3 linked regions of the Oryctolagus cuniculus genome follow. The protein of the gene in region 3 binds, or shares a complex with, the protein of the main gene of each other region. Links are inferred from orthologs where the notes say so. Each region holds a gene or a part of one and is shown on either strand. Other genes may lie near its edges. The genes, in order: POLR1F, POLR2K and POLR1H.

Evidence for each region.
Region 1: POLR1H (region 3) and POLR1F share a complex: the UniProt entries of both Homo sapiens proteins name them as parts of the RNA polymerase I (Pol I) complex. The link is inferred for Oryctolagus cuniculus from reciprocal best matches to the Homo sapiens genes POLR1H and POLR1F.
Region 2: POLR1H (region 3) and POLR2K share a complex: the UniProt entries of both Homo sapiens proteins name them as parts of the pol I pre-initiation complex. The link is inferred for Oryctolagus cuniculus from reciprocal best matches to the Homo sapiens genes POLR1H and POLR2K.

The regions. Positions count from the first base shown.
Region 1 is NC_091447.1:11,751,660-11,755,405, forward strand, and holds the start of POLR1F (DNA-directed RNA polymerase I subunit RPA43), read right to left. Parts: upstream 2,377-3,746; 5' UTR 2,312-2,376; coding exon 2,058-2,311; intron 1-2,057. UniProt on the Homo sapiens protein: Component of RNA polymerase I (Pol I), a DNA-dependent RNA polymerase which synthesizes ribosomal RNA precursors using the four ribonucleoside triphosphates as substrates.
Region 2 is NC_091437.1:125,592,859-125,596,547, reverse strand, and holds POLR2K (DNA-directed RNA polymerases I, II, and III subunit RPABC4), read right to left. Parts: upstream 2,820-3,689; 5' UTR 2,117-2,819; intron 1,522-2,116; 5' UTR 1,513-1,521; coding exon 1,452-1,512; intron 1,157-1,451; coding exon 1,064-1,156; exon of another isoform or gene 1,033-1,063; intron 438-1,032; coding exon 415-437; 3' UTR 84-414; downstream 1-83. UniProt on the Homo sapiens protein: DNA-dependent RNA polymerase catalyzes the transcription of DNA into RNA using the four ribonucleoside triphosphates as substrates.
Region 3 is NC_091436.1:140,425,105-140,428,850, forward strand, and holds the start of POLR1H (DNA-directed RNA polymerase I subunit RPA12), read right to left. Parts: upstream 2,416-3,746; 5' UTR 2,226-2,415; exon of another isoform or gene 2,190-2,225; intron 2,106-2,189; 5' UTR 2,086-2,105; coding exon 1,950-2,085; intron 1,773-1,949; coding exon 1,672-1,772; intron 1,510-1,671; coding exon 1,400-1,509; intron 1-1,399. UniProt on the Homo sapiens protein: Core component of RNA polymerase I (Pol I), a DNA-dependent RNA polymerase which synthesizes ribosomal RNA precursors using the four ribonucleoside triphosphates as substrates. Can mediate Pol I proofreading of the nascent RNA transcript.

The sequences.
Region 1 (3,746 bases), on a different chromosome or scaffold from region 3:
AACACTGTATAAATGTTCCTATTTTACTTTTGTTTTTCAGAAACAATCCTACATCAGTGGCGGGGCAAGGTGGTAACTTCACTTGAGATACTTAGGGAACAATTAGATCAAGTTTAAGGATGCTTCAATTGTACCCTTGAGTCTCTGGAACTTCTAGAATGGAATGGAACATATTTGCCATCTTCAAATAACTCAAAAGAGTTATTTGGAGTTTACTGGAACAGAGATTGTTTTCTCTCCCCGAGTGGTCTCTCAAAAGCACACCTTAATCCAAACTGACAATATGATTCTAGAAAACTACTTACTTTCTCTAAGAAGACAGTCTAAAGTTGAAATGAGATACCTTTTTAAAAATTTTGTCAATGGGAAAGAAGGTAGACAGTCTGTTAAATAGGAGATGCCACTGAAACGACTTACATACTGTCATGAGAGCCATTTGAAATTCTTCTGTTTTTCCCAGTATTTAAACGGGGAGAAGCAAGCCCTACTGATTCTTCAGAATGACTCAAAAATCTGGAAACATAAACAACTACACAAGATAAATTCTCAATATTGTAATTCTTAATCTGATCAACATGTTGTCCCTAACGAAGGACAATGCATGTTCAACATGTGGGGCACTGAATCTACACTCAATAAACCGAGTCTCCAGCATGTCCCACAAGTAACAGCAGAAGGCAGGGTCCGGATCTGTTCAGACCACCCTGCTCAACCTGGCTGTAAAGTCCAATTCAGTCATTTAAATGGTCATTTACTCAGTACCCCGTAATTCCGGACTAATGGCTCCTACTGGGCCCACTCGGAGCGACTTACCCCACCGCCTCAATCGGGGGAGATAATTGGCTACAGAAAGCAGCAACGCAGCTGCCTGTTCCCAGATTTTAAGACTATCTGTACATCCTTATCTCTCTCAAATCCACGCTCTCCAATCATCTGTCTCTTGGACAATTTAACTTGTCTGCTCTCTCATTCTATTTCACCTTCCTCTGATGCTACCAAGTGCATTATGTCCCACTGTGGCTATCTATCAAGAGTGTGCCAAGTCTCGGAGCTGGAGGGTACTCAGAACATGCAGCATTCGCACTACTAGCGCATACTCATTCACATCTACCACCCATCTGCGCATGCCACTCTTTGCCTAGGATTCTAGAATCTCAAAGCACCCTCTTCCGTGAAGCTCTTGTCAAACATCCCAAGATCCAACTCACTGTCCCTTGTCTAACTCTCAGCCTAACTCCATTTCGATTTCAATCAGATTTTTCATAAACTCGCTAGGTGTACTGGCTGACACGATATCCCTGCGACAGTTTAAAGCTCCTTTAATTTCTGGCTGTTTTTATATCTCAAGTCCCCACGTGCGGGGTCTGGGATCCCTTGAGGAAGCGGTGCATGCTCTAGATGACGTCTAAATCCCGGTATTTCTGCAGGCTCCCAGAATTCCTTAAGGACAACCACAGGTCCCCAGGGAATCCATCCACCCTGGTTGTGGAGACCCTCTTTGGAGCCAAACCAGTTCACGGCAATATTTGAGGCACCACGCCCCCTCCCAGTAATTCTGAGTTTTCAAGCGACTTTTTAATACCGTAATTTAAATGCATTAGAAGGCCCCCCCCGACACACACACTCCGAAAAGCAACAGGCTCACCAGTTAAAACGAAACAGACTATTTTCTCTTAAAAACAAAATAAATGGCAATTCCCTCGCGCTCATTGGAACCCCGAAAAGACAACTCCGGGTGATTCCCGGGGCCGGAACGACACCCGCACACCTCGCAAGATCGAACTGCTGTGCCCCTGCTACCGGCGCAATCTTCCACGGAAGCGGGAGATGTGGAAGCGCCGCACGCCGAATCTTCACCGCAAACGCAAAGGCATACCCGGAAGCGGACAAATGCAACGCTCAACGCCACACAGGCCCAGGCTACACGGGGTCTCCGGACCCCTGGTCTACTCCGGAGCCAGCGTCCCAGCTCCTCGCCTGCGAAAGGGGAGCCGCGCTGGAAGCGGCCCCGGCCTTGAGGGGCAGACGGCGGACCTGGAAGCCATCGCGACCCGCACCTCTCCGAGTAACGCAGGAGCTCCGCGTCGAGCTGCTCGCGGATGCCGGTGCGCTTCCTGTTCAGGTACCGGGGCGACAGTGCGATGTGCCTGCGGTGCGGCCCGGCCACCAAGCAGGAGTAGCGGCTGTTCACCAGCTCACAAGCCGCAGCGTAGGTGGGCAGCTCCAGGCAAGGCACGGCGCCCGCCGGTGCCACCGCCTGGCCCTCAGAGGCCGCTTTCGGCCGTGGGGCCTCCGAGCAACCCGCAGCCATGCGTCTTGTCAAGCTTCCCTCGGCGCGCACCAGTGACGCAACGCGGCCGCGTCGTGCCTGTCTCCGGGGCTACGTCATCGGCCGGCTGCCACGCCCCTGGGGGGGTGCCTGTCTTTCCCCTGCCTACACAGATGTGGCCAGCAGGGGGCAGTCTGTTCTTCTCTGTTCTAGGGCTCGGGGAACTGGGAGCCCTGGTACACATGGAGCATGCGCGAAGCCTTGTCCCATGCTGTGGGAGAGCACTAAATGAAAAGTAAACGTGGATGGCATTTTATGCGGTCTGAAGCCACGTCCACCATCTGTCCGGGTCGGCTTCCCTCCTCACGCTTCCCACGAGGAGCAGCGAGGTCTTTTGAGCGACGTGACCGTGGCGTGCCCTATGCACAGCCCTATGCAGGCACGGCGCTCACAGACCCCTTAATGTGGCTTCCATTCCTTGCAAGCAAATCGCCCGTGGAGCAGTGTAAATGTGAGAGTTGCTGATAGAAACCCTGGTGGTTGCAAAGCAATATGTTCCGGCACTCGGATTTGTATAGGACTTAAGCTCATTTATATCTTGCAGGTACATTGATGAGTGCGAATGATTTCAATGTCTGCATGGTTTTATATAGAAAAAGAACAATCAGAAACTGGTTCGGAGTATTTTGATTGTTGCAAGAAGTCCTTTATTTCTAGACCCAGCCAGGTGAAGTCACGCAGTTTGGGTCCTTGCTGTGGCTCTGCCACCTGCTAGATTTGTATTTTTTGGGCAAATGTCTTCCTTCTTAACGCGGAGATGATCAGATTCGTGTTTTATACTGTAGAGTTAGATGGCATTTTTAACTCTGCATAATTATTTCCATACAAAATTATTTCATGTACATGCCATGTAAAAATGCCATTTTTGCTGCATAATGAGCTATCCCCCCAAATGCCGTGGATTTAAGTAGCAATCATCAGTTTGACCCATAGTTCTGTCAGTACAGATTTAGGTGGGGCTTTGGTGTTCCAATGTGACTCCACTTGTCTTGCGCCGTTAGCACCCAGCAGATAGTCCCCCAGGACCCTGGACCATGGGGCTTCCCTCTCGTGGGCTGCAAGGACTTCCAGCAGCCCCTCTCCGTTTCTCGGGTCACTCCCGCAAGCAGGGCTGCTTTAGCTAATTTATGAATCGGAGACGTAATCACAGCCATTGATGGGGAAAATACCAGCAGTATGACACATTTGGAAGCTCAGAACAAAATCAAGGGCTGCACGGACAACATTACTCTCACCATAGCAAGATCTGAACAGAAAATTTGGTCTCCTCTGGTGACGGAAGAGGGGAAACGTCACCCGTACAAGATGAATTTAGCCTCAGAACCCCAGGAGGTCCTGCACTTAGGAAGCGTGCACAACCGAAGCGCCATGCCCAAACTTTACCGCCTCCCTGCTTTGGTCACTGCCTCCAGAGTCA
Region 2 (3,689 bases), on a different chromosome or scaffold from region 3:
TGACATACGTATGCTGACAGCAAACACACTGCTACATTCTGTACCAAAGACACTGGAAATTTCACAAACATCTCATGACACAGTGATTTCCAAGGAATTTATTTAATTAGACTTTCAGAGGGCTCTAAAAATCTGCATTTTTCACAAAGACCCCAGATGATTCTAGGTTCTGCTTGCAAGCATAGTTTAAGAAAGTAATTTTAACCTTCATTTGTGTCACATTACATAAACAATAAAATTAAATTATAAGTCATGTAATCTAACTTCTTTACATTAAAAGATACCTAAATACAATATGGTTCAAAATGAAATCATACGTAGTTCAAAAAGATGCTAAACCAAAAGCCATACAACAATGAGAAACATTAACAGCAAATGCAAGTACAAATGAAGATATTCCTCTGAATGCACATTTCAACGCGCATCAAAGACCACCACTGTATTCATCTGAGTTAAGGAAAAAAAAAATGTAGTTGAAAATTACAGAAAAAGACTGAAGACTTCCAAATCACTTTACATGTGCAACAAGCTAGTTTGTTAATTTAAAATGCACAAAGACCTGGAATTCACTATTTATTACAACAACTAGATATAAAGTAAATAAAAGCTTTCAATTTTTATTAGCACTTTTCCCAACCAATGAAAAAAAACCCAATGTATCAAAAAGCACTGAATGCTAAAGGTAATAACTTGTGATTTTAAAAAAGTTATGTTAGAAAATTACAACTCACTCTCAGTGTTTAGTCTCATGTGTTGGCTCCACTTTTTCCTACTAAGTAGCATACACAATATTTGTATTACTCCTTGTATAATTTATTTGTCAAGCTGAACAATCAGTTCTTATGTAAATACAGAATCTCTGGAAAATAAACTTATGAGAATCAAAATCAACTAGTATTTCAATTATTTAGTGCTTCAGTTCTTGTCTATGAAAAATGCTAATAATATCTCTTTAATTAATCCAAAGTTCTTACGGTTTCTACCAGAAGTAGTGTCTATCAACCCCTGCATCACTCTACAGTTGGCTCCTACCTCAGATTTTAAAAGTAGAGTTAAAGGATACATCTTTTTGTCCTTTTCTTGTACATTATTCTGTATCCACATTCTCTGCATCTGATTGGATCCCTGGATTTTATTTCATTTTCAGTGTGACATTCTAGGGAGAAAAAAAAAAAAAAGGCTTACTCAAATTTAAAAGGAAAACAGTGCAGACAGGCAAATTATCTTAACCATATCAGGCAAGGGTATGATATTACAAAATATACTAAATGGGAAAGAAGAGAGTTGTGGGCAATGCTGTTTTTCCAGAGCAAATAAGAGTTTTAAGTGGTGCTACGAGGCGCTCCTTTATAACTTTAAACACCAATGACTCATTCATTCAAAGGATAAATGTAATAATTTCAAAAACAAATTAAGCAAAATACTCTTACTTTATGTAGCGTTATCCTTACCTCCACAAATATATATCATTGGCTGCTGCTTTGGGGGCTGAACGTCTTTCTGGGCGTCCATTGTCAGTCCCTGCAAACACAGAATCAAATCCTCAGTATTTCAAAGGGGTTCCTCACAAACCCGAACAGCCCTCCCTCCCCTTGTTTTTTCAGGAAAAACTGAAAGAGATCCCAGTTCCCCCTCATCTGCGCTCTTCTCCGTGCCTGGGAGTTAGGTCTAAGGGGCAAACCACACAGACACACACAAGTACTGAGAGTCGACCCCAAACTGGGCACGACAGAAAATGATCCGCATTTTGTTCCTTCATTATAATCTTCACAACAACCCTCAAGTGTCACTCCTGTTTTATACACGAAGAAAGCGAGGCTGAGAGATACTAGTTTGCGCAGGCAAAAGGATTCAGATTCGGCTCAAAACTCGAGTTCTCATCTAACACATGAATATCCCTCCAAAACGGAACAGACTAACCGCCGGGAAGAATACTAAAATAATTCCCAATGGCTAAACAGCTCAACTAAAAGAAACCAGGCAAAGCACTGACGGCACCAACTCCTCCACCAGCATCTCCTGACTCTAACCTCGCACTGGACCTTCTTAGCCCCCAAGTGTCTTTCTGGTTTGGCTCAAATACCCACACCTAAACCCCAGCCCCATAACTCCTTACCTGCGTAGAACGGAGAAACTCCGCATCTGCTCCCAACACGCAGTGTCGCTGTCAACTTCCGGCGCTGGCTTGTGACGCAAGACGAGCACCGCCCCTTCCGCCCCGGCCCGGCCCGGAAACCGAGTTTGCGCAAGACTCTAAAACTAGTTTCTTGCTCGCAACGGACTCTGTGGACATCAAGCACATTTTTTAACACTTAGCTATTCTCATTTTTCAGGAAAGAAAATCATTTTAACAGTTCTTCAAAGGAAGTTTGTATTTCTGACTCGTGAGATTGGCGGAAATGAACGCTTTTCCGGAAGGACCGAGACTAAGAGGGACGGAGGTGACAAGTGCCGGTGGAATCCTGAACGCGCCGTTCCTCTGATGACTTAGACTCGGTTAACCAGTGATTTTTTTTTTTTTTTTTTTTGTTACCCCGTAGAAAAGCACATTCTAGGCTGTTTTCAGGTTGTTGGGTACCTGTGCTGGGGCTGTGTGCCAGCCGCCTCCCGTCCTTGTCATGCTTGATCGTGTTTTTGCTCTCCAGCCCTTTGCTTCTCCCTCGCCTCCACGCCTGTTACTCGTTTTACAGTGCAGGCGCACCTGCGGGGCAGCGCCCTCGACACCTCGCACTTAAAGCTAAAGGATTTTGGTAGCTTTAGCGGTTCACTGGCCCTCCCTTGGTCCCATGTATTCCTAGGAGAAAAAAAAAAAAAAAAAAAAAAGACGTGCTTGTGGGAGTTGCATTCTTTCAAAGAATATTCAGTGGCATAAATGCCGATTAGATTCGAACATTTACATTCATTTACTTCTTTCACAAAAGATATTTTACTTAGAATAGAAGCAGAGCTAAGAAAATGAAATTATTACAACTTTATAGAAATAATTAAAGATTTATTTATTTGAAAGTCAGAGTTACACAGAGAGAGGAGAGGCAGAACCAGAGAGAGAGGGGACTTCCATCTGATGGTTCACTCTCCAATTCGCAGCAACGGCCGGAGCTGCCCGATCTTAAGCCAGGAGCCAGGAGCTTCTTCCTGGTCTCCCATGTGGGTGCAGGGGCCCAAGGACTTGGGCCATCCTCCACTGCTTTCCCGGGCCATAGCAGAGAGCTGGATCAGAAGAGGAGCAGCCAGGACTAGAACCGGCGCCCACATGGGCTGCTGGCGCTTCAGGCCGGGGGTTAACCTGCTGCGCCACGGCTCTGGCCCCAGAAATAATTGTTAACAGTTATTATAAAGTTAATTGTAGAAGCAGGCTTGCTTCCCCCACATGCACTGTGTCTTTGGTATCTTATTAAGTAGGACTCCATCCATCAACTTGAGAACTTTAGCTTCACCTTTCATTTCCAGAAGTTAAAACTGTGTGGTTGCATCTCCACAAACCAACTTGAGACATTCAACTGGGATTTCCCTGTCTTTCCAGGGGGCAGGAGTTTGGCCTAGCCCAGCTCCACTTCTCAATTCCAGCTTCCTGCTGATGGCCGTCCTGGGAGGCAGCAGTTTCTGGCTCAAGTACTTGATTCCCTCCCACCCACATGGGAGAACTGGATTAAGTGACTGGCTCCTGATTTCAACCAGGGCTGTTGTGT
Region 3 (3,746 bases):
TATGGTGTAAACATGTTTGATATATCTAATACACATTTAAAAAATAAAAAGAGATTTAAAATACAATTAAGGAACTGAGAAGTAAAAAATGATTGATGGGCCACCACCACTGTGGAGTAGCAAGTAAAGCTGCTGCCTGCAGAGCCGGCATCCCAGATGGGCGCCGCTTCGAGTCCCAGCTGCTCCACTTCCGATCCAGCTTTCTGCTATGGCAAAGGGAAAAAAAAAAGCAGTAGAAGGCCTAAGTACTTGGACTCCTGCACCTACGTGGGAGACAAGGAAGAGGCTCCTGGCTCCTGGCTTCGGATTGGCCCAGCTCTGGCTGTGGCAGCCATTTGGGGAGTGAACCAATGATGAAAGACTTCTCTCTGGCTCTGCCTCTCTATAACTCTGCCTTTTGAATAAATTTTTAGACAGGGTGAGGAAAATGGGAGGATGAGGAGAAAGTATAATAAACAATTAGAACTCCAGTATGTGAGAATTAAAAACATGGGAGAAAGACAGTATTAAATGAGATAATGGCTGGTAATTTTTCAAAGTTAATGAGAAATACATCAATTCTCATTTCAGAAAGTCCAATAAAATTCCAAACAGGATAAACAAAAGCGAGCTACATTTTGATATATCCTTTATTTTTTTTTTAAAAAAATTTGATTGAAAGGCAGATTTACAGAGAGGGAGATACAAGAGCAGGGGACTGGAAATGGGAGAGGGAGGAGGTGGGCTGGGAGTGGGGTGGGTATGGTGGGAAGAATCACTATATTCCTGCAGCTGTACTTACGAAATTTGTACTTATCAAATAAAAGATTTCCTTGGGGGGAAAAGAAATGAGGGAGAGACAGAGAGATCATCCACTGGTTCACTCCCCAAATGGCAGCAATACTGGGGCTGGACCAGGAGGAAGCCGGGAGTCAGGAGCTTCTTCCAGGTCTCCCACGTCGGTGCAGGGGCCCTAGAACTTGGGCCATCTTCTACTGCTTTCCCAGGCACATTCGCTGGGAGCGGGACTGGAAGTTCAGCAGTCAGGACATGAACCCAGGCTGGTGTCCCAGGCGGCAGCTTAACCTGCTCCTCCGCCACAGCGCCGGCCCACAACACTCTGATATATTCTAGTGGAACCAGAACACTAAATTCTGCAAACCATTCAGAAAGCTGCTGTTCTTTAAATCCCGTGTGACTAATTCTTACCATGGTCAAGCTACCTTGGCTGCAGTGAACAACTCCAGCCTTCTCTTGTTTTTTAATGAAAAAACAAAATAGTAAACGGTTGAGTTCACTGGATATACAAAAGACAAGTATTTCCTATTAGGGATGGAATCATGGAAGCAAGTGTGTGGTACAAGAATACGCCACTGAACATGTCAAGTGCGCAGACAGAGGGAGGGGAGCGGAGACCCACTTGCAGCTGGTGCAGGTGTAGAAGACGGTCTGCCCCTCGTCGGCTGAGCGCATCTGCCGGGTGTGGTACGCCATTCCCTCGTGGCCACAGCGAGAGCAGCGCCTGTCAACCTGGCCGGGAAGGGGTGCGTTAGGAGGCGGGGGCGCGCCCCTCACTTCCCAGGCTCTCCGCCTTCCTGGAAGTCGGTGCAACACTCTGCGGACCCCGCACTCGCCCCTCCGCTTCCTCTCCACGCCCCTCTCTGCAGCCAGCCCTCCATCTCAGTAACTCACCACGGGTCCCTGGAACTCGGGCCCTTCCTCCGCCGACGCAGGCACGGCTGCCCCCAGCTTGTGGAACACAAAGGAAGTCTGCACGACCTTCCCTTCGAAGTCTGCACGGGGCAGCAAGAAGCGGCTGTGGAGGCCAGCGGAGGGCGCGGACGGCCGCCTCGCCCCCGCCAGGCCTGCCTGCCTCCCTCAGGGTTCTTCCGCAGACCAGACGTCCAGGCGCCCGCTCTAAGGCTCTCCCTCCCCGGTCTCCAAACCGCGCACCGGCCCCCGCCCCTCACCCCGCACGTGGATGGAGAAGCCACAGCGAGTACAGACGACCGTATCCTGAGCTCCGGGCAGGGGCAGGACCGAGCCGCAATCCGGACAGAAATCCAAGTCCGACTGAAAGCTGGGGCAGGTGCTGGCGCCGTCCATGACGGACACGCGACGGAATGCTGGAAAGGGAACGACCAGTTCGTTAGGACACCAGAGAGCCGCACCCTCCCCACGCAGGGGGCCTCCCTTGTCTGCCCCAGCACCTAGGCACAGATAACCCGACCCCTCCTCCCACGTACGTCTCCGGCCTCGGCCACCAAGCAACCAGCCGGCGACGCGGAACCCCGCCAGGGCAGGCGAGAGGGGCCGGGTAGCGCGGGCTAGAGCGCCGGCCGTGCGCAAGCGGCGGGGCAGCGAGCGCGCCGAGGGCTAGAGCGCCGACGCGTCCGGGCGCACAATTTGCTGTGACGTCACTATTCCTCGCGCGCCACAGCGGGGGGTTTAGGGCGGGCAGACGGGCTGGGAGCGCGTTTTGCTGCGTCACTTGCCGTTTGGTCTCGTGGTGGTGGACCGGAAGGCGAGTCGCTGGCACTGCGCCTCCGGCTCCTTTTCCCACCTGGACACAGTAGTGGGGTATTCCTCTTCCTTGTCTCGCATCTGACTCACTGGCTTCCCACTCACGGGGGCCCCCAGAAAACAAGAGTTCGTTGGATTAGAAAAGTACAGGTCCCGCCGTTCCCAGCGGCCCTTTTTTCGCGGAGCAGAGGGTGTAGCTAAGCGTGCTGAGACTCGCTGGGCTCCGCTGGCCGGACGGGAAAGACGGAAGGGGCACGCCTGGGAGGGGGCCGAGGCCTTCGGAGGGGGTCATACACCACAGGGACCCTGGGCCGAGGACCTCGGAGGGCATCAGACACCACAGGGACCTGGCGTTAGGCCGGGGACGCCTGTAGGCAGGGGTTGCTAAGACCTGGGTCGAGTTTGGCTTTCAGTCTTCCACTTGGTCCCTCACCTCCAGTCGTGGTCATCCAGTCGGTGGTTAATTGAGTTGCTCCTTGTTTATAAAACATGAGAATAAGGATCTTTAGAAGACCTCACCATTTTCACGCGTCAGTAGCTTAGACTTGACCTGAAGAAACAGTTTCTATACGAGTTTCCTGGTTCTAGCCCTCCCACCACCATCCAGTTGTAGCTGTTGTGGGGCTCCTGCGTGTGCAAGCTCTGGAGCCATCTCTTTTCTAAAGGACAGATGTGAATTTACTTGGGAGAGAGGCACCTGTCTGTCTTTCCCTGCCATAAAGGAAAGACAACCCTAGTAAAAAGTTAGGAAATGCTGGGGAAATCACAAGCCCCTAATATCACTTAACCATGAAATCGGATGTCATTTTATTTATTTATTTTATTTTATTTTTTTTGACAGGCAGAGTGGACAGTGAGAGAGAGACAGAGAGAAAGGTCTTCCTTTTGCTGTTGGTTCACCCTCCAATGGCCGCCGCAGCCAGCGCGTTGTGGCCAGTGCACCACGCTGATCTGATGGCAGGAGCCAGGTACTTCTCCTGGTCTCCCATGGGGTGCAGGGCCCAAGCACTTGGGCCATCCTCCACTGCACTCCCTGGCCACAGCAGAGAGCTGGCCTGGAAGAGGGGCAACCGGGACAGAATCCAGCGACCTGACCGGGACTAAAACCCGGTGTGCTGACGCCGCAAGGCAGAGGATTAGCTTAGTGAGCCATGGCGCCGGCCATTTTATCTGTCTTAACAGATGGAAGTCTGTTGCTGAAGTTATGATGGTAGACACTTTATTCTCACTTCTCTGTCTCCTTT